7 linked regions of the Macaca mulatta genome follow. The protein of the gene in region 1 interacts with the protein of each later gene in a pairwise test. Links are inferred from orthologs where the notes say so. Each region holds a gene or a part of one and is shown in the gene's direction. Other genes may lie near its edges. The genes, in order: FAM9B, PRPF3, SNX20, GSTK1, GOPC, FERD3L and PHYH.

Region 1 (4,790 bases):
TAGAAGATAGTAACAGCCAAGGAATTACTATAGGATGTGATAAGGGTTCGTTGGTTGAAAGTGAAAGAAAATGCTCACTCTACTTCCAAGAGAGCAATTTAAGATACTATGCCTGTGTCCAAGACAATACATTTGTATTTGGTCTCTCCTGGACAGACAGAGTTCAAACTCCCATATCACTCTTCATTTTCATTGGTTGTTTTACTTTTATTTTCTACGGTTTTGGGTTTAGGCATGTTGATGCTGTGTTAAGCACAAAATGATTTCTGTCAGATTGTCAGAGTAGATCATGCCCTTCTCTTGTTCTGTATACTCTGCCTTTAGTTTATTCATTTATTTTTTGCATTATTTTACATTTGCGAGCTATCAATTCCCAGATCCATATTTTCCTTTTCTTCATATTTGTCTGACATGTATTTTTTGTATCATTTTGTTTTAGCTCCATTCTTACATACAGCATATACTTAGATTTTTATTTTGATCCAAGTTGGAAGTCATTTCCTTTAGATTCTGAGTTTATCTCATTCATATTTCTTGCTCAACAGATTCACTTGGCCTTAATTTTGTTCCTTTATGTTATGGTCTCTGGAGTATTTTCTTTATTTTTCAATTTTTACTACAGGATTTGTGTTCTTTGTGTGTGCTCTTTTTGGTTATATAGACATTTAAGGCTGTGGATTAGTTTTCCTGATGACTGCCTTTATAATTTCTTTTCTTTTCTTTTTTTTTGAGGTGGAGTCTCGCTCTGTCGCCAGGGTTTCACCGTGTTAGTCAGGATGGTCTCGATCTCCTGACCTTGTGATCTGCCCGTCTCAGCCTCCCAAAGTGCTGGGATATAATTTCAATAATATAATGAAACTCTATATCTTGATTTACAAACTTTAGGCAATATTTATTTACTCCTAACTCCAAAACAACTCTCCCCCTATTATAGGCGACTGGAGGTGGGAAAAAGCTGAGTTAACGATAAGTATTAAGGCATTAATTTGTGGGTGAAGGTTGTGGCATATGTCTGCATAAGTCTGGAGCATGAGGGTTTGTGGGCAAGTCTGGGGCATGAGGATGAGAAAGAAAAGTAGTGAGGAAACAAAAATGGTTATGGGCAGGGCACGGTGGCTCATGCCTGTAATCCTAGCACTTTGGGAGGCCAAGGCGTGCAGATCAACTGAGGTCAGGAGTCCGACACCAGCCTGGACAACATGGTGAAACCTCGTCTCTACTAAAAAAAAAAAAAAAAAAAATTAGCAGGGCTTGGTGTTGGGCTCCTGTAATTCCAGCTCCTTGGGAGGCTGAGGCAGGAGAATCACTTGAACCCGGGAAGCCGAGGTTGCAGTGAGCTGAGATCACCCTGCTGCACTCCAGCCTAGGCGATAGAGTGAGACACAGTCTCAAAAACAAACAAAAACGATAAAAGCACAATCCATTGATTGAAAAGGATGCAGCTGGGCATGTTGGAAGCACACAGGGCATGGGAGGGAGCCTGGGCCCAACCCATAGGATGATGGCCATTCTAGCCAAAGGGGCAGGGGTGGCTGGAAAGAGCCCCAGGGCGAGGTTCTAGGCCCTGTCCACTTGGCCTCCATACCAAGTCCTGTGTCCCTCCCCAGGAGCAGAAGCTGAAAGAATGTGGGAACAGAGGCCCCAAAGGGCCAACCCCACCTCAGTCCACAGCAACCACTTGCTGTCACTTAGGGGAAGGGGGAGGGCGTGCCAGCAGGGGGCGTGGCCCCACACGGCCTGTCACACGCATGTGCACTGAGTCGACCAATCTGCGAGGAGCGTAGGAAGTGCTGTCGGCAGCTCTCACGAGAACTGAGTACTTGTTTTCTTTTTTGTTTTTTGTTTTTTGTTTTTTGTTTTTTGAGACAGTCTGGCTCTTGCCGCCCAGGCTGCAGTGCAGCCGCGCGATCTGGGCTCACTGCAACTTCCGCCTCCCGGGGTCAAGCAATCATCCTGCCTCAGCCTCCTGAGAGGACCCGTTTTCTAAGAGATCCTAGTGGTGCTGTTGTCTGCAGGTTCTTTGAGGGCGCCACATCAGGGGTCCCTCAGGTGAAGCGCTCGCGGTGGGGAGGCGGAAACGCAGGCACGAGGCCCTCTGGGAACCAGGGTGTGAAGCGCTGGGCCGCCCGCTGACCTGTGAGGAAATGCCCCTGGCGTGGTCGCCTGGGGCCTGGGTCAGGGCGAGGCCCTGAGGGTGGGCTGGGGTGGGCCAGGGCAGGGAGGGAGCTGGAGCCGCCTGGGTGATCCCTAGGGCCCAGGAGGGCTTGTGCATGTGTTGGGGGGAGGTGCGGAAGGTGGGGGGAAGTGGGGGTGGGGCGAGGGTGTTGTTGGGGACAGTCTGAGTGGGGCCCTCCTGCCCGGCCTCCCGTCAGGACAGGACACTTGGGGTCATCAGGGGTCCCCTGTGCATCCAGGCGGGTGAGTGACAGTGCAGCCCCTGACATTCCTCTGGAGGTGGCTGGGGAGATCCTGTGTCACCCGGTGGCCCTCCCAGCCACACGGGGTCGCTGGGGGACCCAGAGGTAGGGCTGAGTTCTGTCCCAAAGGTGCGGCGAGGATCCCGCAGACGCCGTGGAGTTCAGGTGTGAGGGGCAGCTGTGAGCTCTGCAGCCAGCCCCGGGGACGGGCTGGACGGGCTGGACGGGCCAGGACAGGAGGGGACACTGGCATCTTTTCGGTCCCCTCCTGCTCCCACAGGAGACCCAGGGCGTGCCAGCCCCACCCTTCTTGAACCTGTGATCCCAATGGCTTTCCTTTCCGATGCCAGGGTTCCTTTGCTTCCTTAGTGTGCCTTTGCCCTCATCAGGTTCAGGGATCACCTGTAGCTTCCCAGGACAGCCAGCCACGGATCCTGTGGGCAGGAGGGCTGCCAAGGCCCAGTTGGAGGCTCAATTTATGGCGGCCCAGGGGAAGGAGCGTGCAGGTAAATACAGCCCAAGGTGACCCGGAAGAAAGTGCACGCCCAAGAGGACGGTCTGTCTGCTTTCTGCGCTGGGGGCACAGGGGTAGCCCAAGGACCCGGGCCCCTTCGTGGCTTTGGAGTCCATCGTGCACGTGCTAAGATGCCCCAGGTTTTCAAAGCAGGCTCAAGGGCCTTAGGCTTCCCGTGAAAGGCTCCCCTCATAGCGGGGTTACAGATGCTCCCAGAGCAGCTCTTCTCCATGAGTGCAGTCATGACATCCAAGGGGTCTGACGTGTAGTATGTTGTTTACTGGGACTTGAACCCGAAGGGCTTCCAAAAGTGCCTTGATAAAATGGTCAGAAGCCGGTGATTCCATGTACAGCTCTGCTTTAAAGCCTTAATTGGCAGATAGCCAAAAAAAAAAAAAAAAAAAAAGTCTACAACAAGTACATTTCTCCACAAAAAAAGTCCACAACAGTGTCTTCCTCTAAAAAAGGTTTGTCTTTTAAATTTTAATGCAGGAAAGGATCCAGTCAGTGACGAATGTGAGGAAAGAAACCCTTTTACAGAAACAAGGGAGGAAGATGTAACTGATGAGCATGGGGAAAGAGAACCTTTTGCTGAAAAAGACGAGCACACGGGGTAAAGTGTTTAAGTCACTTTTGCCTGTGGGATAGGGTCTTTTAGGAAAAGTCACCTTTGGACCATGTCATCACTGTTCTATTCTGTGCAGAACATTTCACATAAGACATTTCTTTTCCCAACAAACATGGCATTTTGTGTAGTATTATGCTAAAATTTTGATGTAACTTTTTTTACAGGGCTAATACCAAGAAGCCAGAAGATACTGCAGGTATATTTTAGGAGTTATCTGTCGTTTATGAAAATTGTTTTCAATCATGCAACTGTTGCAGTAAGTTATATGAATCAGTGGATGACAAGACTGTCTTAAATGGCTTATCATATGTAGCATTTAACATACGTATTTAATGTAATCTGTTTGATAAATTTTTCTTACCTCTTTGATTGTTGATGTGGAATGTGAGAATGCTTCTAATAATGGTGAAGCGAGATGGATGGCTTTTCTTTCATACACGTGGAAATTTAATTGTTTGGAGAATATTAGAGGACATTGGAGGAGAAACAGCTCTATTCGTTCCTTTTAGTGTACGCAGATTAAGTCATATATCAGGTTTTTTTTAAGCTTTCACTTTAAGTTTGGGGGTACATGTGCAGGTGTGTTATATAGATAAATTGCATGTCACAGGGTTTTGGTATACAGATTATTTTGTCACCCAGGTTATAAGCATAGTACCTGATGGGTGGTTTTTGATCCTCACCCTCCTCCTACCCTCCACTCTCAAGTAGGCCCAGTTGTCTGTTGGTCCCTTCTTCCTGTCCATATGTACTCAGAGTTTTTAATATGAGTTTTTCATGTTCTTAATTTAGCTATTCTATTGTCACAGCTTTCTGATTTTGTTTTATTTGAAGTACAAGAGAAAATTGAATTCTCTAAAATCATTTTCCATTATTATTCCAGTAATAAACTGTGTAGTACAAAAGGACAACTTTTCTATCTAGTGAGAAACATGTAATTGGATCCAAAAACTCATAAACTTTATATTGCTGTGTGAAATATTAGTTGCACTGTTATAGGGACCATATTTTCAAAAAAGTTTGAGAAAATTTCTGTAAAGATGATGGAGACAATACTCTTACTTTTGAAAAGCTCAATTCAGTTTTCAGCTTTTCGATAGCGATGATTCATACAAGCAGTATATTTGGAAAGCTTTGCTCTGCTTGGTGACAAAAAGTGCTGGTTTTGTGAGCTGCCTAATACATTGGGCGTTATAGATGGAGACTGTATGTAAAAAATATTTGCATTATG
Region 2 (4,166 bases), on another chromosome or scaffold:
AGCCTGGGCAACAGAGTGAGACCATGTCTCAAAAGAAAGATGGTATTACTCACTGATGAGATTGTTCCCTAGAATTATTTTATCATCTTTTTTTTTTTTTTTGAGACGGAGTCTCGCTCTGTCGCCCAGGCTGGAGTGCAGTGGCCTGATCTCAGCTCACTGCAAGCTCCGCCTCCTGGGTTCACACCATTCTCCTGCCTCAGCCTCCCGAGTAGCTGGGACTACAGGCGCCCGCCACCTCGCCCGGCTAGTTTTTTGTAGTTTTAGTAGAGACGGGGTTTCACTGTGTTCACCAGGATGGTCTCGATCTCCTGACCTCGTGATCCACCCGTCTCGGCCTCCCAAAGTGCTGGGATTACAGGCTTGAGCCACCGCACCCGGCCCGTCTTTTTTTTTTTTTTGAGAGGGAGTCTCACTCTGTTGCCCAGGCTGGAGTGCAGTGGCGTGATCTCGGCTCCCTGCAACCTCCACTTCTTGGGTTCAAGGAATTCTGCCTTAGCCTCCAAAGTAGCTGGGACTACAGGTGCCCATCTAAATTTTGTATTTTTTGTAGAGATGGGGTTGCACTATGTTGCCAAGGCTGGTCTCGAACTCCTGGGCTCAAGCGATCCACCTGCCTCAGCCTCCCAAAGTGCTGGGATTACAGTGTGAGCCACCACGCCCGTCCATCCAATAACTCTTATGGAGAAGGCACTGCACCCTCAACTTCTGGGCTCAAGTGACCCTTCTCAACCTCCTGAGTAGCTGGGACCAAAAGTATATGCCACCACACCCAGCTAATTTTAAATTTTTTGTTGAGATGGGATCGCCTTGTGTTGCCCAGATTGGTCTCTAACTCCTGGGCTCAAGTGATCCCTCTGCCTTGGCCTCCCAAAATGCTGTGGTTCTAGTCTTGAGCCACCACACCTGGCTTTATTTTGTTTGTTTTTTTGTTTGCCTTAATGTTCCATACAGGATTTATTTCTTTGCGGGCTATTTTTCAGGAAGGTGGAGTTAAAAGACCAAACGAAACCTACACCACTGATCCTGGATGAGCAAGGGCGCACTGTAGATGCAACAGGCAAGGAGATTGAGCTGACACACCGCATGCCTACTCTGAAAGCCAATATTCGTGCTGTGAAGAGGGAACAATTCAAGCAGCAACTAAAAGAAAAGCCATCAGAAGACATGGAATCCAATACCTTTTTTGACCCCCGAGTCTCCATTGCCCCTTCCCAGCGCCAGAGACGCACTTTTAAATTCCACGACAAGGGCAAATTTGAGAAGATTGCTCAGCGATTACGGACAAAGGTATCTGGCTTATAGTATAACACAGAATTTAGAAAAAGTTAAGAAGCTGAAAGGAAAACATTGTAAAATCTCTATGTTCTAGGAAATTAGATAAATAGGTCATTTAAAGCAGCAGTCCTCAACCTTTTTGGCATCAAGGACTCATTTCATGGAAGACAATTTTTCCCCTGGAGTAAGGATGGTTTTGTGATGGTTTAAGAACATTACCTTTATTGTGTACTTTATCATTATTATTATTTTTGAGATGGAGTTTTGCTCTTGTTGCCCAGGCTGGAGTGCAATGGCATGATCTCGGCTTACTGCAACCTCTGCCTCTCAGGTTCAAGTGATTCTCCTCGAGTAGCTGGAATTACAGGCATGCACAACCACGCCTGACTAATTGTGTATTTTTGGTAGAGATGGGATTTCTCCATGTTAGTCAGGCTGGTCTTGAACTCCTGACGTCAGGTGATCTGCCCACCTTGTCCTCCCAAAGTGCTGGGATTACAGGCGTGAGCCACCACACCCGCCTTTTTTTGGCAGGGGAGCGGGGACAGAGTCTTGCACTGTTACCTGGGCTGGAGTGCAGTGGTGCAATCTCAGCTCACTGCAGCCTCCACTTCCTGGGTTCAAGCCATTCTCCTGCTTCAGCCTCCTGAGTAGCTGGGACTACAGGCGTGCGCCACCATGCCTGACTAATTTTTTGTATTTTTAGTAGAGACAGGGTTTCACTGTGTTGGCCCGGCTGGTCTTAAACTCCTGACCTTGTAGTCTGCCTGCCTTGACCTCCCAAAGTGCTGGGATTACAGGCGTGAGCCACTGTGCTGACTTCTATTATTATTCTATTTTAATATATGATGAAATAATTATATAACTCACCATAGTCTAAAATCATTGGGAGCCTTGAGTTTGTTTTCCTGCCGAGACGGTCCCATCTGGGTGTGATAGGAGACAGTGACAGATCATCAGGCATTAGATTCTCATAAGGAATGTGCAACACAGCCCCCTGGCATGTGCAGTTCACAATAGGGTTCACTCTCCTATGAGAATCTAATGCCACCGCGGATCTGACAGGAGGTGGAGCTCAGACCATAATGCAGGTAATAGGGAGCAATTGTAAGTACAGATGAAACTTTGTTGGTTTGCCTCCTGCTCACCTCCTGCTGTACAGCCCAGTTCCTAAAAGGCCACAGACTGGTGGGTTGGGGACCCCTGATTTAAAGCAATGAATAATTTGAAAATATGCAGGACGAGGTGGCTCAAGCCTATAATCCCAGCGCTTTGGGAGGCCGAGGTGGGTGTATCACAAGGTCAGGTGTTCGAGACCAGCCTGCCCGACATGGTGAAACCCCATCTCTACTAAAAATACAAAAATTAGCCGAGCGTGGTGGCGGGCACCTGTAATCCTAACTACTTAGGAGGCTGAGGCAGGAGAATCACTTGCAATTGGAAGGTGGAGGTTGCAGTGAGCCGAGATCGCGCTACTACACTCCTGCCTGAGCGAAAGAGCGAAACTCCGTCTCAAAAAAAAAGTTTTAAACAGATTTTACTTCCTAATTAGTTTCTACATAAGTGGAAATACTCAATTGAGTTTGAAAATTCTCCACATACAACTAAGTGGAGGGAAACAATTTGAAACACTCTGACTGACTGAGGAAGACTTGCCTGGAGTTAAAATTTCCTGCAGAAAGTACACCTGGAGAGTTGAATTGATTGTATATTGAATGACCTTTGCCTTCTTTTTATCCTCTCAGTGAGGTTTTCATAAAATTCTATTTCTGTGTATTTACTGCAGGCATATACTGTGGAGTGAAGGGAGAGGGTGAAGGTGAGGATCTATGTAAATGAACTAAATAAAGGATAAAATAAAGCAGAACAACTCCTTTCTAAACTTTCAGAATGAATTTGTTGCATTAGGTGTAAAGAGTTCAAAGGGGAAATGTTTTAAAATTTGGGATTATTGGCCAGGCGTCATGACTCATGCCTATAATCCCAGCACTTTGGGAGGCCGAGGTGGGCGGATCACGAGGTCAGGAAATTGAGACCATCCTGGCTAACACGGTGAAACTCCTACTCTACTAAAAATACAAAATAATTAGCCAGGCGTGATGGCAGATGCCTGTAGTCCCAGCTACTCGGGAGGCTGAGGCAGGAGAATGGCGTGAACCTGGGAGGTGGAGCTTACAGTGAGCCAAGATGGCGCCACTGCACTCCAGCCTGTGTGACAGAACGAGACTCCGTCTCAAAAAAAAAAAAAAAAATTGGGAATCTGGCCCCGCACAGTGGCTCATGCCTGTAATCCCAGCACTTTGGGAGGCCGAGGCAGGCAGATCACCTGAGGTCGGGAGTTTGAGACCAGGCTGACCAACATGGAGAAACCCCATCTCTACTAAAAATACAAAATTAGCTGGAGTTGGGGGCGCATGCCTGTAATCCCAGCTACTCCAGAGGCTTAGGCAGGAGAATGGCTTGAACCTGGGAGGCAGAGGTTGCTGTTAGCCAAGACCATGCCATTGTACTCCAGCCTGGGCAACAGAACGAAACTCCATCTCAAAGAAAAAAAAAAAATTGAGATTCTACAAATTCTGTTTTCTATGATTCCAATTTATCTTTCTGTCTTGGATTATCTTGTTTTTAGGCTCAACTGGAGAAGCTACAGGCAGAGATTTCACAAGCAGCTCGAAAAACAGGCATCCATACTTCGACTAGGCTTGCCCTCATAGCTCCAAAGAAGGAGCTAAAGGAAGGAGATATTCCTGAAATTGAGTGGTGGGACTCTTACATAATTCCCAATGGCTTTGATCTGTGAGTTTGTTTTAGTACCTTTTTAAAAAAACAGTTTTTAATCAGCCGAGTTTAAGATTCAAGTTAATACCTTTTAGTAAAGCTAGTGGGAA
Region 3 (3,611 bases), on another chromosome or scaffold:
AGTTATTATGTAAACCGGATCCCAGCTGCCTGTTCTCCCTCCCTGAGTAACGTGGAGAGAATTCTGAAGTCAGCCCAGCCTGGGTCTGTATCCTGCCCACCACTCACCAGCTCTTTACCTTCGGCAACGCTAAGTCTCAGTTCCCTTATCATAAAAGGGAGCAGCAAACAGTCCTGAGTGCAGACAGTGGTCAGGTTAGCGTGAGAGTGTGTGTTGGGTGTCAAGCGCACTGCCAGCACGTCACAAGCACTGGAGACAAACTCAGCTTTGCTTGTTGCGCACACTCACCAGCTGCATGACTTTGGGCTAGACCTCAGTTTTCTCATCTGTTATGTGGTGGTAATGATAGACTTTTGTGAGCATTAAACTAGATTAGGGGCTGTGAAGAACCTAGGTGGGTATGAAGTGGGTATAAGCTATCAGTTAATTTTGCTGATAGATAGATAATTGATTGATTGATCGATAGAAGATTCATACCAGTATCTACCTGCTCTGAACACTGAGCTTTCTTTTTTTCTTTTTGAGATGGTCTTGTTCTGTCATCCAGACTGGAGTGCAGTGGCGTCATCGTAGCTCACTGCAGCCCCAGTCTCTTGGGTTTAAGGGATCCTCCTGTCTCAGCCTCCCAAGTAGCTGGGGCCACAGGCATGCATCCTGGACAATTTTTGTTAATTTTTTCTAGAGACGGGGTCTCACTACATTGCCCAGGCTGGTCTCAAATTCCTGGGCTCAAGTGATCCTCCTAACTCAGCCTCCCAAAGTGCTGGGATTACAGGCATGAGCCACCGTGTTCAGCTTGAACACTGAGACTTCATTCGCATGTGTAACATAAAAGTGAGTGTCTGCACAAGCCAGCATCTTTCGCTCGAGTAATCACTAAAGCCAATACTTTTGCTTGAAATCATCTCATTTAAGGCCGGGCGCGGTGGCTCAAGCCTGTAATCCCAGCACTTTGGGAGGCCGAGACGGGCGGATCACGAGGTCAGGAGATCGAGACCATCCTGGCTGACACGGTGAAACCCCGTCTCTACTAAAAAATACAAAAAAAAAACTAGCCGGGCGAGGTGGCGGGCGCCTGTAGTCCCAGCTACTCGGGAGGCTGAGGCAGGAGAATGGCGTGAACCCGGGAGGCGGAGCTTGCAGTGAGCTGAGATCCGGCCACTGCACTCTAGCCTGGGCCACAGAGCAAGACTCCGTCTCAAAAAAAAAAAAAAAAAAAAGAAATCATCTCATTTAAAACTCTGAGCAATATGTAAGGATCACCTCAATTATACATGGATCATCACAATAGGTGAAGGGTCTTCTCTGCCTTGGAGTAACCTGCCCAGCAAAGGGGCAGACCCAGGTCTGGGATCTGGCAGCCGGGAGAGTGGGGAAGGTTGAGCCGTGGGGCCATTGTCATTCCCTCTGACTCCCAGGAGGGGGCATGACACAGCTCCTAGGCACCCCAGGAGACACCGGGAACCCCAACTGGAGTGGGTACTCACTGTTCTCTTGTTCCTCTGGCAGGCTTGGAGCATGGCAAGTCCAGAGCACCCTGGGAGCCCTGGCTGGAAGGGACCCATAACACAGTGCACAGCAAGGACCCAGCAGGAAGCACCAGCCGCTGGCCCTGACCTCCCACACCCAGGACCTGACAGGCATTTAGGTGGGCTTGAGGCTTGAGACTCGGTCTGGGGGAGAGGTCTGAAGGCATTCAAAGTACAAATGTGGGTCACTTTGGCGGATATAGCAAGAGGCCCGGGCAGCTCTTGTAACTTGGGTTATCCCAAAGCAGACACTGAGACACAGATTTGGTGCAAGCTGTTTATCTGGGAGATGGTCCTAGGAGTCACGGCAGGGGAATGGGAATGGCAGAAAAGGGCAAGAGGCCAGGGCAGGACATCAGTGAACAGATAGGCATGATAAGTGGCTGAGGCTCAACCCTAGCGGGGGTCTTCTGGGAGACCTTGGAATATATCTCTGGGTTGTGCTATCCTGGGGTGAGGAAGCCGGGCTGTTATCTACCAGTCCTGCCCTGCAGAGGAGAAGGGACGCTCCTGGGCCTGCTGCTATGGCCCTAGAAAGCCCTCAGGGAAGCCAGTGGCATGTTCTGGAAAAGTAGGTGCCAAGAGGGCATGGTCCAGCCTGGGGCATGGACAGCATCTGCTGTAGTGCCATCTCCTGGAACAAATCTTTTCTTACAATCCTTCAAGATGTCCTCTACTCAATACCTGCTCTGTTCCTGGCCCTATGCAGGGCACTGGGGAAACAGAAACAGGAACAAATCAAACACTGCACTAGTCCTGAGGTTTGGTAGAGAAACAGATCAGTGAAAAATAGATGTGCCATGCAAAACAAATAAATAAAATGAAAAAGTATAGGAACAAGGTGGGAGGCTCTTACTCTAATGCCAAGGGGCATGTGCAGTGATGTGGGGGCTTGGTCTTGAAGGGTAGACTGGAAAAGGGCTGGGAACCATGCCCTTTGCGATAAAATGCACAATTATTTGCGCTTCTCAAGAAGCTCAGAGGGGCGCAGGGCTCAAGTGGGGTTTAAGAAACACTGTGTTCGTTTTCCAGGCATGGAAATAGAGGGTTGGATGCCAGGCAGAGGAGTGCACGTCCAAGAAGAGCCTAGCATGTGAGCAGTTAGATGAGAAGGTTAGGAAGGGCCAGCCCGCTGACGCTGGAACATAACATCCTTATTGCTGCCTCCCCTGCCCACTGATGTGTGCTCAAGGAGTCCTGGCGACAGTCACAAAGTCAGGGCTGCAGGGAGCACAGAAACACACAAGTCAGTCTCTGCTTGTCCAGAGCGGGGATTTCACCATGGCCAATCTGCAGACCAGAAGTGGACGATGCAAAATGCCCACACCACATTCCACAGCTAAGAAACCACTTGGGGGTGATGGGCTATTTGAGATTGTCAGTGGTAGGGTGGATTCTGCCAGGCTGGGCACAGAGGTCTGTCTGATGCCCCAATTGGGCCTATCAATGGCGGAGTGGGAGAGAGGGATATTCAGTACTCTTTAGGAGTTCTGATATCCCATCTCAGATAGACCCAGCCATCTCCCCAAGCCATGCCTCAAAAGTGCACTGAGAGGGTGCAGATCCTTAAGGGTGTTGTCCTTCCAGACATGCATAGTGGCCTGAGCTCCAACTCCAGCATGACCACGCGGGAGCTCCAGCAGTACTGGCAGAACGAGAAATGCCGCTGGAAGCACGTCAAACTGCTCTTTGAGATCGCCTCAGCTCGCATCGAGGAGAGAAAAGTCTCTAAGTTTGTGGTAAGCAGAGATCGGGAAATGGTGGAGCCTCTCTCACTCTGCTTCCTTCCCGGCCCTGAATAAGTCTTGTGGGGCCTCAGGTTTCCCAACTATGAAATGGGTCAGCACACTTCAGGCTCAGCACCTGCTAGGGTCTGTGAGGATTCGAACCATGGAAGTCATGCTTCTTGGTCCCAAGAAGGAAATAGCCCAGTTTAATCCCATCTTATCGGGTGTCGGTCACCTGTGTCCTTTCTTCACCAATTTTGCCATATCCCTGTATCCATTATAATTATTACTACTTATTTTTTCTTTAAATTGGATCACTTTTTAAAAACACAAAGTACATTTATTTCAAAGAGAA
Region 4 (3,877 bases), on another chromosome or scaffold:
TTTTTTTTTTGAGACAGGGTCTAGCTCTGTCACCCAGGCTGGACTGCAGTGGCGCAACCTCGGCTCACTGCAACCTTTGCCTCCTGGGCTCAAGCGATCTTCCCACCTCAGCCTCCCGAGTAGCTGGGACTACAGGCACACACTACCATGCCCGGCTAACTTTTTTATTTTTTGGAGAGAAGGGGTTTTACCATGTTGCCCAGGCTGGTCTTAAACTCCTGAGCTCAAGAGAGCTGTCTGCCTCCACCTCCCAAAGTGCTGTGTTTACAGGAATGAGCCACTGTGCCTGGACTCCATGCAGTTTTTAACTCTTTGAAAGTATAGTTCTTTGTTTCTATAGAGGTTCTATTGAGTGGACTTATTTTTGTTTTACTTAACCATTTTTCTGTAAACATTTTGTGTGGTACATAATTCTCTAATTTAACCAAGTCAAAGACAGTGTCTCATTAGGACAGGCTACATGAATTCCTGGGTCGCACTTCTGATCTAGGAAGTCAAGATGCAGTGGTTCTCAATCTTGGCTGTGAATTAAAATCGCCTGGAGTACCTTGGAGCTAACCCTTTCCCCCTGGAATTGTGATGTAATTGTTCTTGTTCTTTTTTTCTTTTTTGAGACAATGTCCTGCTTTGTCACCCAGGCTGGAGTGCAGTGGCATGATCATGGCTCACTGCAGACTCAACCTCTTGGGCTCAAGTGATCTCCCATCTCAGCCTTATGAGTAGCTGGGACTTCAAGCATGTGCCACCATGCCTAATTTTTTTTTAAATTTTTTTGTAGAGATGGGGGTTTCACTGTGTTGCCCAGGCTGGTCTCAAACTCCTGAGCTGAAGCAGTCTCCTGCCTCAGTCTCCCAAAGTGCTGGAATTACAGGCATAAGCCACAGTGCTTGGCTCTAGTTCTAAAGGATGACCTCACGTGGAGATTTTTTAAAGCTCCTCAGGAGTTTCAAATGGGCAGCCAAGGTTAAGAACCACCTATCCCAAACTATACCCAAACCACAAACTGAAGCCTTTGTCTTTGTCTTGAAGCCAGGTAGGTGGCTCCAGCCATGTGCCTTGTTACAAGGTCCTCAGGAAGTTCCACTGGAATTAGAGCCTAGCTCTTGATTCGAAAAAAGCATGAGATACTCAGGAACTCTGAGAAGTAGGAAGAAAAGAGCCCTGGACTTGAATTCTAGAGACCTCAATATTAGTGTTGGCTCTGCTACCAACATGCTCTGTAACTCTGAGCAAGTAATGTATCACCTCTGGATTCAGGCTCTTCATTTGTGAAATAAAGAGGTCTATCTAGCTGGTCTCTAAGATGTCCCCTGGTGTTAATTTCTGTGATTGACTCTGTGCCATCTACCTTTTCCACCCATCTCAAGATTTGGGAGAAAGGAAATAGTTCCTCTTGGCAAGGACAGATCTCCACTTGTGGGTGGGTAAGGGCATTGCCAGGAAAACTTGGGGGCAGAAAATAAAAAGACCAGAGTTTTCCTCTGAGATCCCCATCCAATATCATGCAGCCACAGTTGTATTCCCTACTATATTCCCTTAGGCTGCAGAGAAGGCTGGCATGTCTGCAGAACAAGCCCAGGGGCTTCTGGAAAAGATCTCAACGCCAAAGGTGAAGAACCAGCTGAAGGAGACCACTGAGGCAGCCTGCAGATACGGGGTGAGCAGCTCTTTATGTGTGTTCCCAGCCTCCATCCTGAAGATGGAGACTTGAGAATCTCTAGGTGTGAGTCCCCATGCTTCTGTGCAAAAGCTCGCTTTCCAAGTGTTCTCCTCAATGCTCTTAGACAACCCTCATCTTTTCCCTTCTTTTCCTTGGGCTCAGGGAAAGGAAAGGAAGGAGATGGATAGTGAGAGAAAAGACAGCATCTTAGAAACAGGAAGGCACCTGGGGCCATGGAGCCTCTTACACCTCTTTCCTTCTGTGAACTCAGAAAAGTACTGACTCGAAGCCTTCAACCCCCACCTAATACCTGCTCCTTTGCCTTCCTCCTTGCACTGTAACTGCTTTCTCCAGGCCTTTGGGCTGCCCATCACCGTGGCCCATGTGGATGGCCAAACCCACATGATATTTGGCTCTGACCGGATGGAGCTGCTGGCGTTCCTGCTGGGTAAGTTAAAGATTCAACACTGAGCCGGGTGCAGTGGCTCACGCCTGTAATCCCAGCACTTTGGGAGGCTGAGGCAGGCGGAGCATGAGGTCAGGAGATTGAGACCATCCTGGCCAACATGGTGAAACCTTATCTCTACTAAAAATACAAAAATTAGCCGGACGTGGTGGTGCACGCCTGTAGTCCCAGCTACTCGGGAGGCTGAGGCAGGAAAATCACTTGAACCTGGGAGGTGGAGGTTGCAGTGAGCCAAGATCATGCCACTGCACTCCGGCCTGGGTGACAAAGCAAGACTGTCTCAAAAAATAAAAAGATTCAACACTGAACTGCCTTTAACCCCAGCTCCACCCCCACTATATCAGTTGACTGGAAGGAGGGGCTCAGAGCAAAAAATATTCTTGGTACTTCCAGTAGCAAAGCCTTATGCAGTCCGTGCTGTTCAACGTTGAATGGGCAGGGGCTGTCTTCATCGCCATTAAAAGAGAAGGAAGCCTTCTGTACCTTGAAGCCAAGCAAGGGTCTTATTAGAAAACCCCTGGGACCTTGTGGGACCAACTCCTGCTGCCAGCACACCTGAGAACGGTGTGCAGAGTCTGTTATTTCCTTCATCCAGGAGAGAAGTGGATGGGCCCTGTGCCTCCAGCTGTGAATGCCAGACTTTAAGATTGCCCGGAGGAAGCAAACTCTTCGTATAAAAACAGCAGGCCATCTGCTGAACCCCAGCTCCACCATAAGGCACTGGGACTTGGATTTCTCTATCTGATAGAGGTATTTTCTGTGGCCCTGGGAGCTGTCTATCTTTCCCCTACCCCCAAGGACACCAGGAAGGGGTCCACCATTAGTCATGTGGCAACCTTTACTTCTATGCCTCACAAGTGCCTTTCAGAGAGTCCCCACTCTGCTTTCCCACAAAATAAACCTAATGCCCTCAGGCAAAATGTTTCTGTGTCTGTATCTGCCCTGGTGTATTCTCATTCCTGGGGTCACATCCTGCCTCCTCTAGGGATAGGTGAAGGAGAGCTCTTTTGGTACTTCCAGCCAGATCAGCCATCCAGCCCTCCTTGGGGCTGTGGAAGAAGTGAGAATAGTCCCCCATTCTCTCACACAGAAACTCCCCTGGTCTATCAGCAACAGAAAACCAAGCCAGATGGACTTTGCAACTAACCAGTTTGGGATTTACTGTCTTCTGACCAGCCACAGTGACTGAGATGGGGCTGGGACCAGAAGCCCAGTGGGAGTGAACAGCAGAGGGAACCAGAGTCTGGCTGAGCTTGTGCCCAGATATTTAAACTGCATCCAGCCACACCTGCAGGACCAGGGCAAGGCAGTACTGGGAAACTGGCTGGAGTTGCTGGGGATTGGAGAAGTTGCACACCTTTTCATAGATAGCTCCCTTACCCCTCAGTGCAGATTCTGAGAAAACTCCAAGTATAACCCCTGTTCCCTACTACATACATGTAACTTTTCCATTCCCCCAGTAATTGATCCAAAGTCCCTGCCTCTAGCTGTGCCCATTGTGCAACTATCAGAATCCCTTGTTTCAATAGTATTTTGACTTCCTTGAGAATACTCTGTATTTGGAAGCTGAAACCTCACTTGGACCCATTGTTGGGAACCAAGTACAGAGCCTTACATAGACCAGAGGAGTTTCAGGAGTCATGCCACCTTCTCTTCTATCTCTCCCTCTGGGTCTGGCTCTTCCCATACTCCATTTTCCCCTTTTATCTCCCATTACTTTCTGTCTTCCTCTCTCACCTTTCCCATATCTG
Region 5 (3,976 bases), on another chromosome or scaffold:
ATTCAATATATTTGTAAATATATGAATTCACAATTTTGATTTTCTGAAATGTCACGTGTGGGAACGCCGTACGTTTTCAAATGTGCCAAATAACAAGGCTTCAGCCATGAATGGATCACATAAACTATGGTGATCCTATAAGAGTATATGCCATGTTTTTACTGTACCTTTTCTATGTTTAGGTAAGTTTAAATACACAAATAGTTACCACTGTATTGTAATTGCCTACCGTATTCAGAATGGCAACATGCTGTACAGGTTTACAGCCTAAGAGCAATAGGCTACATCATACAGCCTGGGTGTGTAGTAGGCTATACTATCTAGGTTTGTGTTTAAATACACTCTAGGATGTTCCCTAGGGGATGATTAACCTAAGGACACATTCCTAAGAACATATCCCCATCTTAAGTGAAGCACTACTGTAGTTGCTTTTGAAATGTGTGACCTATGGCGTATTAAGAGGAATACCGTGTGCCAAGAAGTGACGCTAAGAGTTTATCTTACAACTGAGTTAAGTAAAATTTGGAAACTTGGTTTCGAGGTTAACTAAGACATGTAAGGTGACACAGGTAGTATGTGACAGAGGGTAAGAACTGAACGTTCACCAGGTCTACCTGACCCTTAATCACAATACAAAAAGTTTTCTATTAATTCCGCAAAATCTGGTCAGCCGCTTCAATGCGTAGCGTTACGCAGTCCACACCTGGAATTTGGGGTTGGTTTACCAAGAACAGCCAGGGTGTACGCCCACTCCATCCTAACCAGGAACTGGAATCCAAAAGGTAAAACGTGGCTATTGCGCATGCTCACACCGCCCTTCCTTGCTCTCCCCTCCCTGACCCCAGACGCCACCGCAGCAACTTTCTGGGAGGACTTTGGAATAGCTCCCGCCAACTGTTAAGTCAAACCGGCGGAAATCCTTCCTTTCTGCGACGTGGACACCTTTCTCATCCTCGGGCCTTTCCAACCAGGATGCAGAAACCACGCGGCTCCGTTTCTCAGGGATTCAAGCCGTAGTTTGCCAGTTGTTAATATGGCGGCTAACAGGCAGGTCCCAAGCTGAGGCCTTTCATAGGCCAAGGTCGCATCCTGGCCCCGCCCATTTTGTCCCTCCAGGCTGCGTCCGCCCAGCTCTTCGCTACGCATGCGCAGCGGGGGCAAGCTGGGAGGTGGGACAGACAGAATCTTCCGTGTGTCGCCGCCGCTGCCGCCTCAGCCTCAGCCTCGTTACTCCTGCGGTTCTGTGGCTGTGTTGCTGGCGTTAACGGCGCGAGGTGAAGCGAGGTGACGGAAGGTGCGCGCGCGCGCGCGGGGGGTCCCCTCAGTCCCAGCAGTTCCCTTCGTGCGGGTGGGGCGGAGAGGGTCTTCAGCAGTCGGGAGAGGCCCTTGACGGCGCCATGTCGGCGGGCGGTCCATGCCCAGCAGCAGCCGGAGGGGGCCCAGGGGGCGCCTCCTGCTCCGCCGGGGCCCCCGGCGGGGTATCCATGTTCCGGTGGCTGGAGGTGCTGGAGAAGGAGTTCGACAAGGCTTTTGTGGATGTGGATCTGCTCCTGGGCGAGATCGATCCAGACCAGGCGGATATCACTTATGAGGGGCGACAGAAGATGACCAGCCTGAGCTCCTGCTTTGCACAGCTTTGCCACAAAGCCCAGTCTGTGTCTCAAATCAACCACAAGCTGGAGGTGAGCCGTGGGCGCTGGCGGCTATGGCATCCAACCCCGGGCTGCCCGGTGGCGTCAGATCCCATTTAACGCTCCAGTGAAACGACCCTAGAAAACTGCCCACCGGGGCTTCCAAATGTGATGGGAGAGTGCATGTCTGTGTGTGCGAAGGAGAGGAGTGAGGTGAGGGTGGGGGACAAAAAGGGCCCTAGACCGACACGTGAGTCTCCCCGGGGTACTGTCGTCCACCTTCCTAGTATCTCTCTGAGGCGGAAACTAATTACATACACTAGCCCCCCTTTTACGTGTTACATTAACAAACCTAACAAAGATTCTCTGTCATGAAAATACCGTAGGCCACCTTTTGACAATTGAGTTTTGCAGATCTACTTTCACATTGATAAACCGAATTTGTATATGTTCAGACAGATACAGCCCTGATTATTTTCATTTTAAATATTTCAGGTCAGCGCCTATTACTGCATACAGAGACATGCATAAACTATTTAGGGGAATCTGATCAAAGCTCTTAGGAAAATTTCGTGGTGCATAACGATAGTATCATTGTCTCGGTTTACATCCATAGTTGGTCCTTAAATTACAGGCAGATACCTCCAGAGAGCTTCCTGCAATTATTGAAATTACTTCTGACATTGAGTTTTTATATGCTTGTACATTACTGTGTAATTTTCCAAAGTCTAGATTTATTTTTGAGAGAGTATAAAGCATCATTTGCTTTAATCTCTGATGCTGGGTGTGGGTGAGGGTGGAGTGGCTGTGATTCAAAAAAAACAAAAAACTATCACGTTGTGCAGAAAATTTAAAAAGGGCATTATTACAATATTTATAAATCAAGATAGATTAACATTATTGCATAAAGAGTATTTTCTAACTAGGCAATTTAAGAGAATGGGTCTTTCTTTTCAAAAAGTATAATAGATAAAAATGGGATAATCAGTGATGTGCAAAACTCTTCGAACATTAGCTTTCCTAAGAAATCATTACTCGTTGTCATTGAGAGTGCCCATTGTATCTATATCAATATGAATGTCAGATAAACATCCTCTCCTTGCCTAGTGGTCAGCATTCTTTTTCTCCTATTAGCCATGAAGTATGTGGCATAATTAATCCTTGATTAACATAGATGTACATATCCAAGAATTGTGGCTCTTCTCCACTGCAAGAACTGTTAATTTCTTCTATCCTTTTTGAAAAGATTAGAAAGTGCTAATATGGCCGGGCGCGGTGGCTCAAGCCTGTAATCCCAGCACTTTGGGAGGCCGAGGCGGGCGGATCACGAGGTCAGGAGATCGAGACCATCCTGGCTAACACGGTGAAACCCCGTCTCTACTAAAAATACAAAAAACTAGCCGGGCGCGGTGGCGGGCGCCTGTAGTCCCAGCTACTCGGGAGGCTGAGGCAGGAGAATGGCGTAAACCCGGGAGGCGGAACTTGCAGTGAGCTGAGATCCGGCCACTATACTCCAGCCTGGGTGACAGAGCAAGACTCCATCTCAAAAAAAAAAAAAAAAAAAAAAAAGTGCTAATATGAAGGTAATCACTTCTTACTGTAGGTAAATGAAAACATCTCTTGATTTCTTTATTAGTATTAATTTTCACAAGAAAGCTATTTTTCTGATTTCATTCTGATAGTGAAATTACATTTAATGTTTTATAGAAATAGTACTTTAACTTTATTTCATTTTATTTTATCTTACTGTATTTAAAAAAAAAAGAGATGGAGTGCTTTGTTGCCCAGGTTGGTCTTGAATTCCTGGCCTCAAGTGATCACCCTCCTGCCTCGGCCTCCCAAAGTGCTTTGATTACAGACATGAGCCGCTGTGCCCGGTCATTAGTTCTCTAGCTTTAAACAACAACGATCAAAAGTAGCTTTTGCCACATGATATAATTTGAATGTGTCCCCCAAATTTCGTGTATGGGAAACTTAATCCCCAATGTGACAGTACTGAATCTCCAATATGGGGCCTTTAACAGGAGAGTGGATTATGAGTACTCAGTTCTTATGAATGGATTAATCCACTCATAGATTGATTTGTTATTGGATTAATGGATGAATGAGTTATCATAGGAGTGTAAAAGTGGTGGCTTATAAGAAGAGGAAGAGAGACCTGAGTAAGCATGTTAGCATGCTCAGCCCCCTTGCCATGTGACACCCTATGCTGCCTCCATACTCTGCACAGATCCCCTGCCAGCAAGAAGGCTCTCGACTTCTCGAGATCTGGCCCCTCGACCTTGGACTTCTCTGTCTCCATAACTGTAAGAAATAAATTCCTTTTATTTATAAATTACCTAGTT
Region 6 (3,300 bases), on another chromosome or scaffold:
CAACAATAAATTTGCCCAATATTTAATAACATATTAATTTAAACAAGGGTTAGAGAGCATGTTACTACTTTTTTGAAACAAAAATCAGTTCTCCCATTTACCAGTTTCATAGCCACTGTTGACAATCCTATGAGTTTTTGTTTTTCAGCCTTCCCTTTGAAAGAAGCTTAGCAAAAATCAACTAAGTAATAACCAAAGATCTATTCTCATTAACATCTTCCAGGATCACAAATTTCAATTATTCTCTGCCTGAGTTATCACAATGCAAACTGGAGAATGAACAGTAAACACAAGCAAAAGAAGATAAAATCTCTTAGAAGATCCAGAGACACCAGACACAAATGGGTTAAAAGAAGAAGAATTCAAGGTTATACTCTTCTGATTACACAGAGAGAGGCTATGAAGAAGAAAATGAATTGAGATTACCTGTTAGAAACAGGAGGTTTCTGGTTTCTGGGAGCTGTCCAATGTACTGAGTGAACCATCTTAGCCACAACTTACCCCTTAATACGGACTGATGTCCTGGGCGGTTCTCTTTTGAACCGAGATGTTTCCACATTCATCTTTTTAGGCTATTTCTTCTAATCTACCTTTAAAATTATCTTCTAATCTGTCATTTTGACCCAATGGGTCTTTTAAATAAATCTTTACACATTACTGAATAATTAAGTAAATATAGTTATTGACAAACAAAGAAAAAGGACCCTTTTGTTAAAATATTAGGGATACTAGAGAAAATATAAAATGAGTAAACTCTTATTTTTATTATGCCAAATTTAAAATCTCTTTCTTATCTCAACGATCTAACGATAATCAAAAAGCTCCTTTAAATATAATTCAATAAGTCATTGTTTCTGCTCTTAAATCTTACTGTAGGACAATACAAATCAATGAGGAAAATAAGCCAGATGGAAGTGTTAGGTTTTTTTCTTTGTTCAGGAACAAATACTCGATCCGCAATTTAAAAGTCCGAAGACTCCTCAGCAGAGGGTGAACTGATTGACTCTTTGGCTTATCAAGGGCAAATCGCATTTCTGAAAAGAGCTTGAAGTGGTTTTGTTTGTGGGGAGAGTTTGCTTTGTCCCCCACACTGAAAGGTATACAGCAAAGCCCGAGCATAGAAAATGTCCTGAGCTTAAATTTGTCATTTTATTGCCGTCATCACGTTTCCTCTTGGAATAAAATCCTCTATTTTATATGAGCAGGAGGTAAAGGTAGGGAAAGGAAAGTCAAGTATCTCAATTGTTAGGCTGATTGCATCCAAACAGACTTTAGAAGCAAGGGTTTGTAACGTGGCAGGAGAGCTGTTTGCGATGCCCTGGAAAGAAAAAGAAAGCCGGTTCCAACAGCGACTCTGGGGAATGCACTCTCGGCCCCCCTGCCATGCTTACTTAAGCTAATGGAAGGTCTTGCCTTTCAGCAGCCGCTGCACTGGGATACCAGACAAACAGCTCCCCTCGATCCCAGGCAGGCAGGGCCCCTCTTCAGGACATCATTAAAAGCACATGCACTTGCTCCACATCCATTGGCAGATGGTGGCAAGATTCAAGACTCCTATCCTGAAGTCAAGGAGAAGCCATCGCCGTGGAAAACATCCTCGCTTTGAAAATCCAACACGAAATTAAAGAACTACACGAGATAAGGAGCCCGGAGAACATTAGTTGGCTGCAGGGGTGAAGACAGACACAAAAAGCACAGCAGGTAAGAGCTGGGGGTTGTTGCCAACAAGGAACTGTCCCGGGTGGCGCACAGAAAAGGATCTCAGAACTGGAGGCCTGTCCCTTTGAGTCTTCCATGCGTGCTCAAGCTTGTCATCTTCCATAAGCTTCGAGAGAAGGGACGTTGTCAGAGCATTTCTTATCGGTGCGACTAATCCTGTTATCAGCTCGGTTATAAATATTTAATGTTCCCTGGCCCTTCGGTGATGGTGCCCCATCAGATTCAAGGCTGTTAAGAATCTCCACCAGCAGCCTCGCCCCTCCCTGCGGAAAACCGATGAGAGGCAGGGCCAAGCCGAAGCGATGGCGGCCTATCCAGAGAGCTGCGTGGACGCTACGGTGCTGGACTTCGTCGCAGACCTGTCCCTGGCCTCCCCGGGACGCCCTCTCCTCTGCGACTTCGCACCCGGGGTCTCCTTTGGGGATCCAGCCCTTGCGCTCCGAGAAGGAAGACCCAGGAGGATGGCGCGGTTTGAAGAGGGGGACCCAGAAGAAGAGGAGTGCGAAGTGGACCAGGGGGACGGAGAAGAGGAGGAGGAAGAGGAGCGCGGGAGAGGCGTCTCCCTATTAGGCCGCCCCAAGAGGAAAAGGGTGATCACCTACGCCCAGCGCCAGGCCGCCAACATCCGCGAAAGGAAGCGAATGTTCAACCTCAACGAGGCCTTTGACCAGCTGCGGAGGAAGGTGCCCACGTTTGCTTACGAGAAAAGGCTGTCCCGGATCGAGACCCTCCGCCTGGCCATCGTCTACATCTCCTTCATGACCGAGCTCTTGGAGAGCTGTGAGAAGAAGGAAAGCGGCTGAACCGGGTGGGGAGAGTCTGCCCTTCCTGGTCTGGTAGTGCTGGGGTGTGTCAGGACCGGGTACTGGGTGAGGCTAAAGGGCCAGGAGGGACGCCCCAAGACAGAACGTCTGGCCTTCTGGAGGTCGGTTTCGAGATTGTAAGATCCCTAAAGTCCCCGAGCAGAGTGGCTGTTGTAGAGTTCATATCTATGCGACCGCCCTAAGTGAAGTCGGGGTCAGGGGCGCGCGGGGATGTCAGAGCGCGAGAGGATGAGTCCGGGCCGTCCAGGCTGCTCCTAAGAGCTTCCGTGGGCTAGGTGGGTGGGAAGAGAACCCTCCTCGCAAATGGCAAACTTGGGAGCTTCTATAGAATCTAACCTCTCCTCTTTACTTTTTTTTTTTTTCATAGAGATAATAAAGTAGAAATTCTTACTTTTTAAAAAGCCTCAAGAGTCGGTGGTGCGCCATCCCCAGCAGGCGCTCCAGCAGGCGCCTGCGAGGAGGCTCTGGAGCAGACGCCGCGAGGGTGCGGGGATGCGAGCTTTGCTGGTAGCCAGAGGGTTCTGTCTGGTCCTCCGATGCTTGTCCAGGAACTGAGGGAAGGAAACATGGAAGGCAGAGCAGTCGAGGGGAACTGCTGACAAAGTGGGACCTCTGAGAAGGAACACCCTTGCTGTCTTCCATTTCCTCTCCCTCCCCTCCCTTCCTCTCTCCTGCGCGCGAGCCCTCTCTCTTCCTTTCTCCCTCTCCCTCTTCACCTGGTTGATTCCAGAGGGACCATGGCTCCTTGTCCCAGGGC
Region 7 (4,947 bases), on another chromosome or scaffold:
TTTTTTTTAATGACCTACCGAACTGTTTATAATATTATGGGCTGGAGTCCCACTAAATGAAATACCCCTTTTGAATGGCATATATGACTTTTAGGGATGAATCTTAGCATTTTTATTTTTTTATTTTTATTTTCAAAACTTCATTGTTGCTGTTTTGGAGTTTTGTTTGTTTTTTGTTTTTGTGTTTTTTGGACAGGGCCTCACTCTGTTGGCCAGGCTGGAGTGCAGAGGTACGATCTGGGCTCAGGTGATCCTCCTGTCACAGGACGTGCCATAGACAAAACTCCTCAGACACGGGGTTAAAGAAGGAAGAGCCTTTATTAGGCTGGGAGCTTCGGCAGACTTGAGTCTCAAAAAACCAAGCTCCCTGACAAAGAAATTTTTGGCCCTTTGAAGGGCTTACAACTCTAAGGGGTCTACATGAAAGGGTCGTGATAGATCGAGCAAGCGTGGGGAAGGTGACTGGGGGCTACATGCAACAGCTAACAGAAAGTTTTGCAATGCTTCCTCACACAATGTCTGGAATTTTTTTTTTTTTTTTTCTTTTTTTTTTGAGACTGAGTCTTGCTCTGTCACCCAGGCTGGAGTGCAATGGCTGGATCTCGGCTCACTGCAAGCTCCGCCTCCCGGGTTCACACCATTCTCCTGCCTCAGCCTCCCGAGTAGCTGGGACTACGGGTGCCTGCCACCAGGCCTGGCTAATTTTTTGTAGATCAGGTGTTCTCACTATGTTACCTAGGTTGGTCTTGATCTCTAGCAATCCTGTGCTCAAGTGATCCTCCCGCCTCGGCCTCCCAAAGCGTTGGGGTTACGGGCGTGAGCCACCGCATCTGGTTAAAAACCTGTTTGTTTGTTTGTTTGTTTGTTTGTTTGTTTTAGAGGCGGAGTCTTGCCCCGTCCTAGGCTGGAATGCAGTGGTGCGATCTTGGCTTACTGCATTCTCCACCTCCCGGTTGCAAGCGATTCTCTTGCTTCAGCCTCCCCAGCAGCTGGGATTACAGGCGTGCGCCACAACACCCAGCTAATTTTTGTATCTTTAGTAGAGACAGGGTTTCACCAAGTTGGCCAGGCTGGTCTTGAACTCCTGACCCTGTGATCCGCCCGCCTTGGCCTCCCAAAGTGCTAGGATTACAGGCGCGAGCCACCGTGCCTGGCAAACTTTTTGTTTAAATCGAAGATTTTATTCTTTCAGCTGTCAATGGAAGGAGCAGTCACGTGGGGTGAAATAGATGGAAGCCATGACGTTAGGAGCGTGAGTGAGGTCCTGGCCCAGCCACTTGTCACGGAGTGACCTCGGCCTGGTCACTGGGTCCCCGAGCCTCCGGGAGGCAGTGAGGGTCCTGGTGATGGAATAGAAACAGGGTGCGGGGCAGGGGCGATGACTCACGCCTGTAGTCCCAGCACTTTGGGAGGTCGAGGCGGGAGGCGGGGAGGAGTTTGAGACCCACCTGGGCAACGTAGGGAGACCCCATCTCTACAAAAAATTATAATTAGCCCAAGAGTTCAAAGCTGCAGTGAGCTATGATCGGGCACTGCATACCAGCCTGGGCGACAGAGCAAAATCTTGTCTCTTTTTAAAAAGAAAGAAAGAAAAGAAAGGACGAAAGGATCATGGTGTGGGGAGCACGTCAGCTCCGCGCGGTTGCCCGGCGCGCGGACCCTAGCGGACTAGGGCGCCCCAGCAGCCCGGCCCGCGAGATGGCGCCGCCCCTAATCCCGCCCGCGTCTTGCCCCGGACCGCGCCTGGAGGCGGAGCCGCCCGCGGAGCTAAATGGGGCCGAGACCTTGAGTGGGGGGGTCCCCGTGCCGCCGCCATGGAGCAGCCCCGCGCCGCCGCCCGCCTGCAGATCGTACTGGGCCACCTCGGCCGCCCCTCGGCCGGGGCCGTCGTATCCTTTGAGCTGCGCGGGTGTCGGGCTGGACCGGGCGCCGGCGCCGCAGCCTGAGTGGTGGCCCGGGTCCGAGTGGAGGCCTCGGCGTCGCGCGCATCCCAGCCCCGGCGCCTCCTCGCTCCGCGCCGGGTCCCCGCCTGGGTCGCGTCTCTTCCCGGAGCCGGGGAGCGGGGAGGAGGCTGCGTCCCCCGAGGACACGCGCGGCCGCCCTGGGCTCGGGGCACTTGCCGCGTCGCGCTGCTCTCCGGGATCCCTGGGGGCCTCTGCTCCTTGTTTTGTGGAGATGTCGTTTCACCGGCTGCGTGTGACTCCTGCGGCTGTCCAGACACCCAGAGATGTCCAGTCACAGGCGCATGGTGCACAGGCGCGCAGGGTTGCCTGGAAGGGGCCCAGGCAGGCGGTGACCCGGCTCCCACGGGAGGGTACAGGACGGTGCCCTCCCGGGCAGGAGCTGGCCAGGCAGGCGTTGCCCAGGACGGCCTCCCTGCTGGACTACGGCCTTGCCACCGAGTTATATAAAGACACTATTTAGGGAAGGACAGAGGGTGAGGACTGGCGCGGGGGCACACGCCTTGCCTATTTGTCCCAGCTCTTCTGGAGGCCAAGGCCAGGACTCCAAGGTTACAGTGAGCCGTGAAGGCCAGTGCGCTCCAAAAGAGAGAAACAGAGAGAAAGAAAAGACAACATGTTGACTGATGAGAGTGACATTCCGAAAGTAACCAATTAAGCTAAAGAAACAATGCAATTCTATGTCAACTGCCTGCAGTTACCGGATAGAAAAGAGATCCTTAAAAGGAATTTCTAGAGTTTTGCTTTTGTGGGTTTTTTTTTTGAAACAGGGACTCTCTCTGTCACCCAGGCTGGAGTGCAGTAGTGGTGCGATCTCGGCTCACTCTTGGACTCAAGAGATCCTCCTACCTCAGCCTCCCAAGTAGCTGGGACTACAGGGTTGCGCCACGATGCCAGGCGAATTTGTATTATTATTGTTATTATTGTTTTTATTTTGAGACAGAGTCTTGCTCTGTGGCCAGGCTGCAGTGCAGTGCCGCGATGTCGGCCCACTGCAACCTCCGCCTCCGGGATTCAAGCTATTCCCCTGCCTCAGCCTCCCGAGTGTAATTTGTATTCTTATTAGTAGTAGTACTAGTAGTATTTTTTTTTTTTTTCCCCTGGAATGGAGTCTCTCTCTGTCGTCCAGGCTGGAGTGCAGTGGTGCGATCTCGGCTCACTGCAACCTCCGCCTCCCAAGTTCAAGCGATTCTCCTGTCTTAGCCTCCCGAGTAGCTGGGATTATAGATGAACGCCACCACCCCTGGCTAATTTTTGTATTTTTAGTAGAGATGGGGTTTCAGCATATTGGTCAGGCTGGTCTCAAACTCCTGACCTCAGGTGATCCACCCGCCTCGTCCTCCCAAAGTGCTAGGATTACAAACGTGAGCCAGCGCTTTCGGCCTAATTTGTGTTTTTAGTAGAGATGGGGTTTCACCATGTTGGCCAGGCTGGTCTGCAACTCCTGAGCTCAAGTGATCAGCCTGCCTCAGCCTCCCAAAGTGCTGGAATTACAGGCATGAGCCACCGCACCTGGCCTTCTGTATTTTACTTTATTTGCCTTAATTCACATCCTAGGTAGCTCATCCCACTACAGGGACTATTGCCTCTGCCAGTTTCCATCCTCAACAATTCCAGTAAGTAGTTTAAGTTTTAATTTTGAAATCTATTATGTATACAAAAGTTTCGTGAGTGGTAATGATATAATATACCACATGTTACCTGATTAGAATTTTATTATACAAATCCTCTGTTTCCAGGATTTATTCTAATTAGTACAATTGTGGAAAATTTTGAAGACCGACTAATTTTCTGTATGTATTTTAAGATTCAGAAAGAAGGAAAAATACCAGAAAATACATAATCTGACATTTATTTATTTTTAATAGAGATGGGCCCTTCCTATGTTGCCCAGGTTGGTCTTGAACTCCTGGGCTAAAGCAATCCTCCTGCCTTGGCCTCCTAAAATGCTGGGATTACAGGCCTGAGCCATCACACCAGCCTTATAATCTGACTTTTAGAAATTCAGTTATTACACATCATATTTAAATTAACTTGTGGCCGGGCACGGTGGCTCATGCCTGTAATCCCAGCACTTTGGGAAGCCAATGCGGGTGGATCACTTGAGGTCAGGAGTTCGAGACCAGCCTGGACAACATCATGAAACCCCACCTCTACAAAAATACAAAAATTAGCTGGGCATGGTGGTGTGCACCTATAATCCCAGCTACTCAGGAGGCTGAAGCGGGGGAATTGCTTGAACCTGGGGGGTCAAGGTTGCAGTGAGCTGCTATCACACCACTACACTCCAGGCTAGGTGACAGAGCCAGACTCCATCTCAAAAAAAAAAAAAAAGCTAAGCTTGTAATTTGGTTATATGGACATATTAACTAGCATCTTTGGTTTATCTTAAATCACCTTTAAACGGGAAGATCTTGACCTTCCTAAATATTCTCATACAACCACAATTCCAATCTTAAGGAATAGGTTGGGTGATTTCAGTTTATGGGTATGCTGTACATTTATTTGGATTTTGTTACTTTACTTCTTGGAGTGCATCAACTGGACAGTTAAAAATATAAAATTTATTGAATTTGTTTCTCATCTGAAAAATCATATGTATTCATTACAGAAACATCAGAGAAATAGAAGGAATTTTTTTTTTTTTTCTTTGAGACAGAGTCTCGCTCTGTCACCCAGGCTGGAGTGCAGTGGTGCGATCTTGGCTCACTGCAAGCTCCACCTCCCTGCTTCCCGCCATTCTCCTGCCTCAGCCTCCTGAGTAGCTGGGACTACAGGCGCCCACCACCACGCCCGGCTAATTTTTTGTATTTTTAGTAGAGAAGGGGTTTCACTGTGGTCTCGATCTCCTGACTTTGTGATCCGCCCGCCTTGGCCTCCCAAAGTGCTGGGATTACAGGCGTGAGCCACCGCGCCCGGCCTAATAGAAGGAATTTTTTAAAATCATCCCTAATTCCATTACTAAAGGCAATCACTATTAAAAATT

Evidence for each region.
Region 2: the proteins of FAM9B (region 1) and PRPF3 interact in binary tests that used the Homo sapiens proteins (3 or more experiments, as listed by UniProt). The two-hybrid records come from large-scale screens. The link is inferred for Macaca mulatta from reciprocal best matches to the Homo sapiens genes FAM9B and PRPF3.
Region 3: the proteins of FAM9B (region 1) and SNX20 interact in binary tests that used the Homo sapiens proteins (3 or more experiments, as listed by UniProt). The two-hybrid records come from large-scale screens. The link is inferred for Macaca mulatta from reciprocal best matches to the Homo sapiens genes FAM9B and SNX20.
Region 4: the proteins of FAM9B (region 1) and GSTK1 interact in binary tests that used the Homo sapiens proteins (3 or more experiments, as listed by UniProt). The two-hybrid records come from large-scale screens. The link is inferred for Macaca mulatta from reciprocal best matches to the Homo sapiens genes FAM9B and GSTK1.
Region 5: the proteins of FAM9B (region 1) and GOPC interact in binary tests that used the Homo sapiens proteins (3 or more experiments, as listed by UniProt). The two-hybrid records come from large-scale screens. The link is inferred for Macaca mulatta from reciprocal best matches to the Homo sapiens genes FAM9B and GOPC.
Region 6: the proteins of FAM9B (region 1) and FERD3L interact in binary tests that used the Homo sapiens proteins (3 or more experiments, as listed by UniProt). The two-hybrid records come from large-scale screens. The link is inferred for Macaca mulatta from reciprocal best matches to the Homo sapiens genes FAM9B and FERD3L.
Region 7: the proteins of FAM9B (region 1) and PHYH interact in binary tests that used the Homo sapiens proteins (3 or more experiments, as listed by UniProt). The two-hybrid records come from large-scale screens. The link is inferred for Macaca mulatta from reciprocal best matches to the Homo sapiens genes FAM9B and PHYH.

Annotation. Positions count from the first base shown.
Region 1 is NC_133426.1:8,568,561-8,573,350, reverse strand, and holds the start of FAM9B (protein FAM9B), read left to right. Parts: upstream 1-1,782; 5' UTR 1,783-2,049; intron 2,050-2,806; 5' UTR 2,807-2,895; coding exon 2,896-2,923; intron 2,924-3,423; coding exon 3,424-3,544; intron 3,545-3,723; coding exon 3,724-3,755; intron 3,756-4,790. UniProt on the Homo sapiens protein: May play a role in meiosis.
Region 2 is NC_133406.1:116,799,030-116,803,195, reverse strand, and holds part of PRPF3 (U4/U6 small nuclear ribonucleoprotein Prp3), read left to right. Parts: intron 1-983; coding exon 984-1,290; intron 1,291-3,907; coding exon 3,908-4,074; intron 4,075-4,166. UniProt on the Homo sapiens protein: Plays a role in pre-mRNA splicing as component of the U4/U6-U5 tri-snRNP complex that is involved in spliceosome assembly, and as component of the precatalytic spliceosome (spliceosome B complex).
Region 3 is NC_133425.1:46,127,852-46,131,462, reverse strand, and holds part of SNX20 (sorting nexin-20), read left to right. Parts: intron 1-1,509; 5' UTR 1,510-1,518; coding exon 1,519-1,648; intron 1,649-3,116; coding exon 3,117-3,268; intron 3,269-3,611.
Region 4 is NC_133408.1:183,293,889-183,297,765, forward strand, and holds the end of GSTK1 (glutathione S-transferase kappa 1), read left to right. Parts: intron 1-1,540; coding exon 1,541-1,657; intron 1,658-2,014; coding exon 2,015-2,108; intron 2,109-2,721; coding exon 2,722-2,771; 3' UTR 2,772-3,068; downstream 3,069-3,877. UniProt on the Homo sapiens protein: Glutathione S-transferase that catalyzes the conjugation of glutathione to exogenous and endogenous compounds. Significant glutathione conjugating activity is found only with the model substrate, 1-chloro-2,4-dinitrobenzene (CDNB).
Region 5 is NC_133409.1:22,589,458-22,593,433, reverse strand, and holds the start of GOPC (Golgi-associated PDZ and coiled-coil motif-containing protein), read left to right. Parts: upstream 1-1,176; 5' UTR 1,177-1,397; coding exon 1,398-1,682; intron 1,683-3,976.
Region 6 is NC_133408.1:109,145,100-109,148,399, forward strand, and holds FERD3L (fer3-like protein), read left to right. Parts: upstream 1-1,968; 5' UTR 1,969-2,021; coding exon 2,022-2,522; 3' UTR 2,523-2,602; downstream 2,603-3,300. UniProt on the Homo sapiens protein: Transcription factor that binds to the E-box and functions as inhibitor of transcription. DNA binding requires dimerization with an E protein. Inhibits transcription activation by ASCL1/MASH1 by sequestering E proteins.
Region 7 is NC_133414.1:14,852,931-14,857,877, reverse strand, and holds the start of PHYH (phytanoyl-CoA dioxygenase, peroxisomal), read left to right. Parts: upstream 1-1,814; coding exon 1,815-1,889; intron 1,890-3,518; coding exon 3,519-3,577; intron 3,578-4,947. UniProt on the Homo sapiens protein: Catalyzes the 2-hydroxylation of not only racemic phytanoyl-CoA and the isomers of 3-methylhexadecanoyl-CoA, but also a variety of other mono-branched 3-methylacyl-CoA esters (with a chain length of at least seven carbon atoms) and straight-chain acyl-CoA esters (with a chain length longer than four carbon atoms).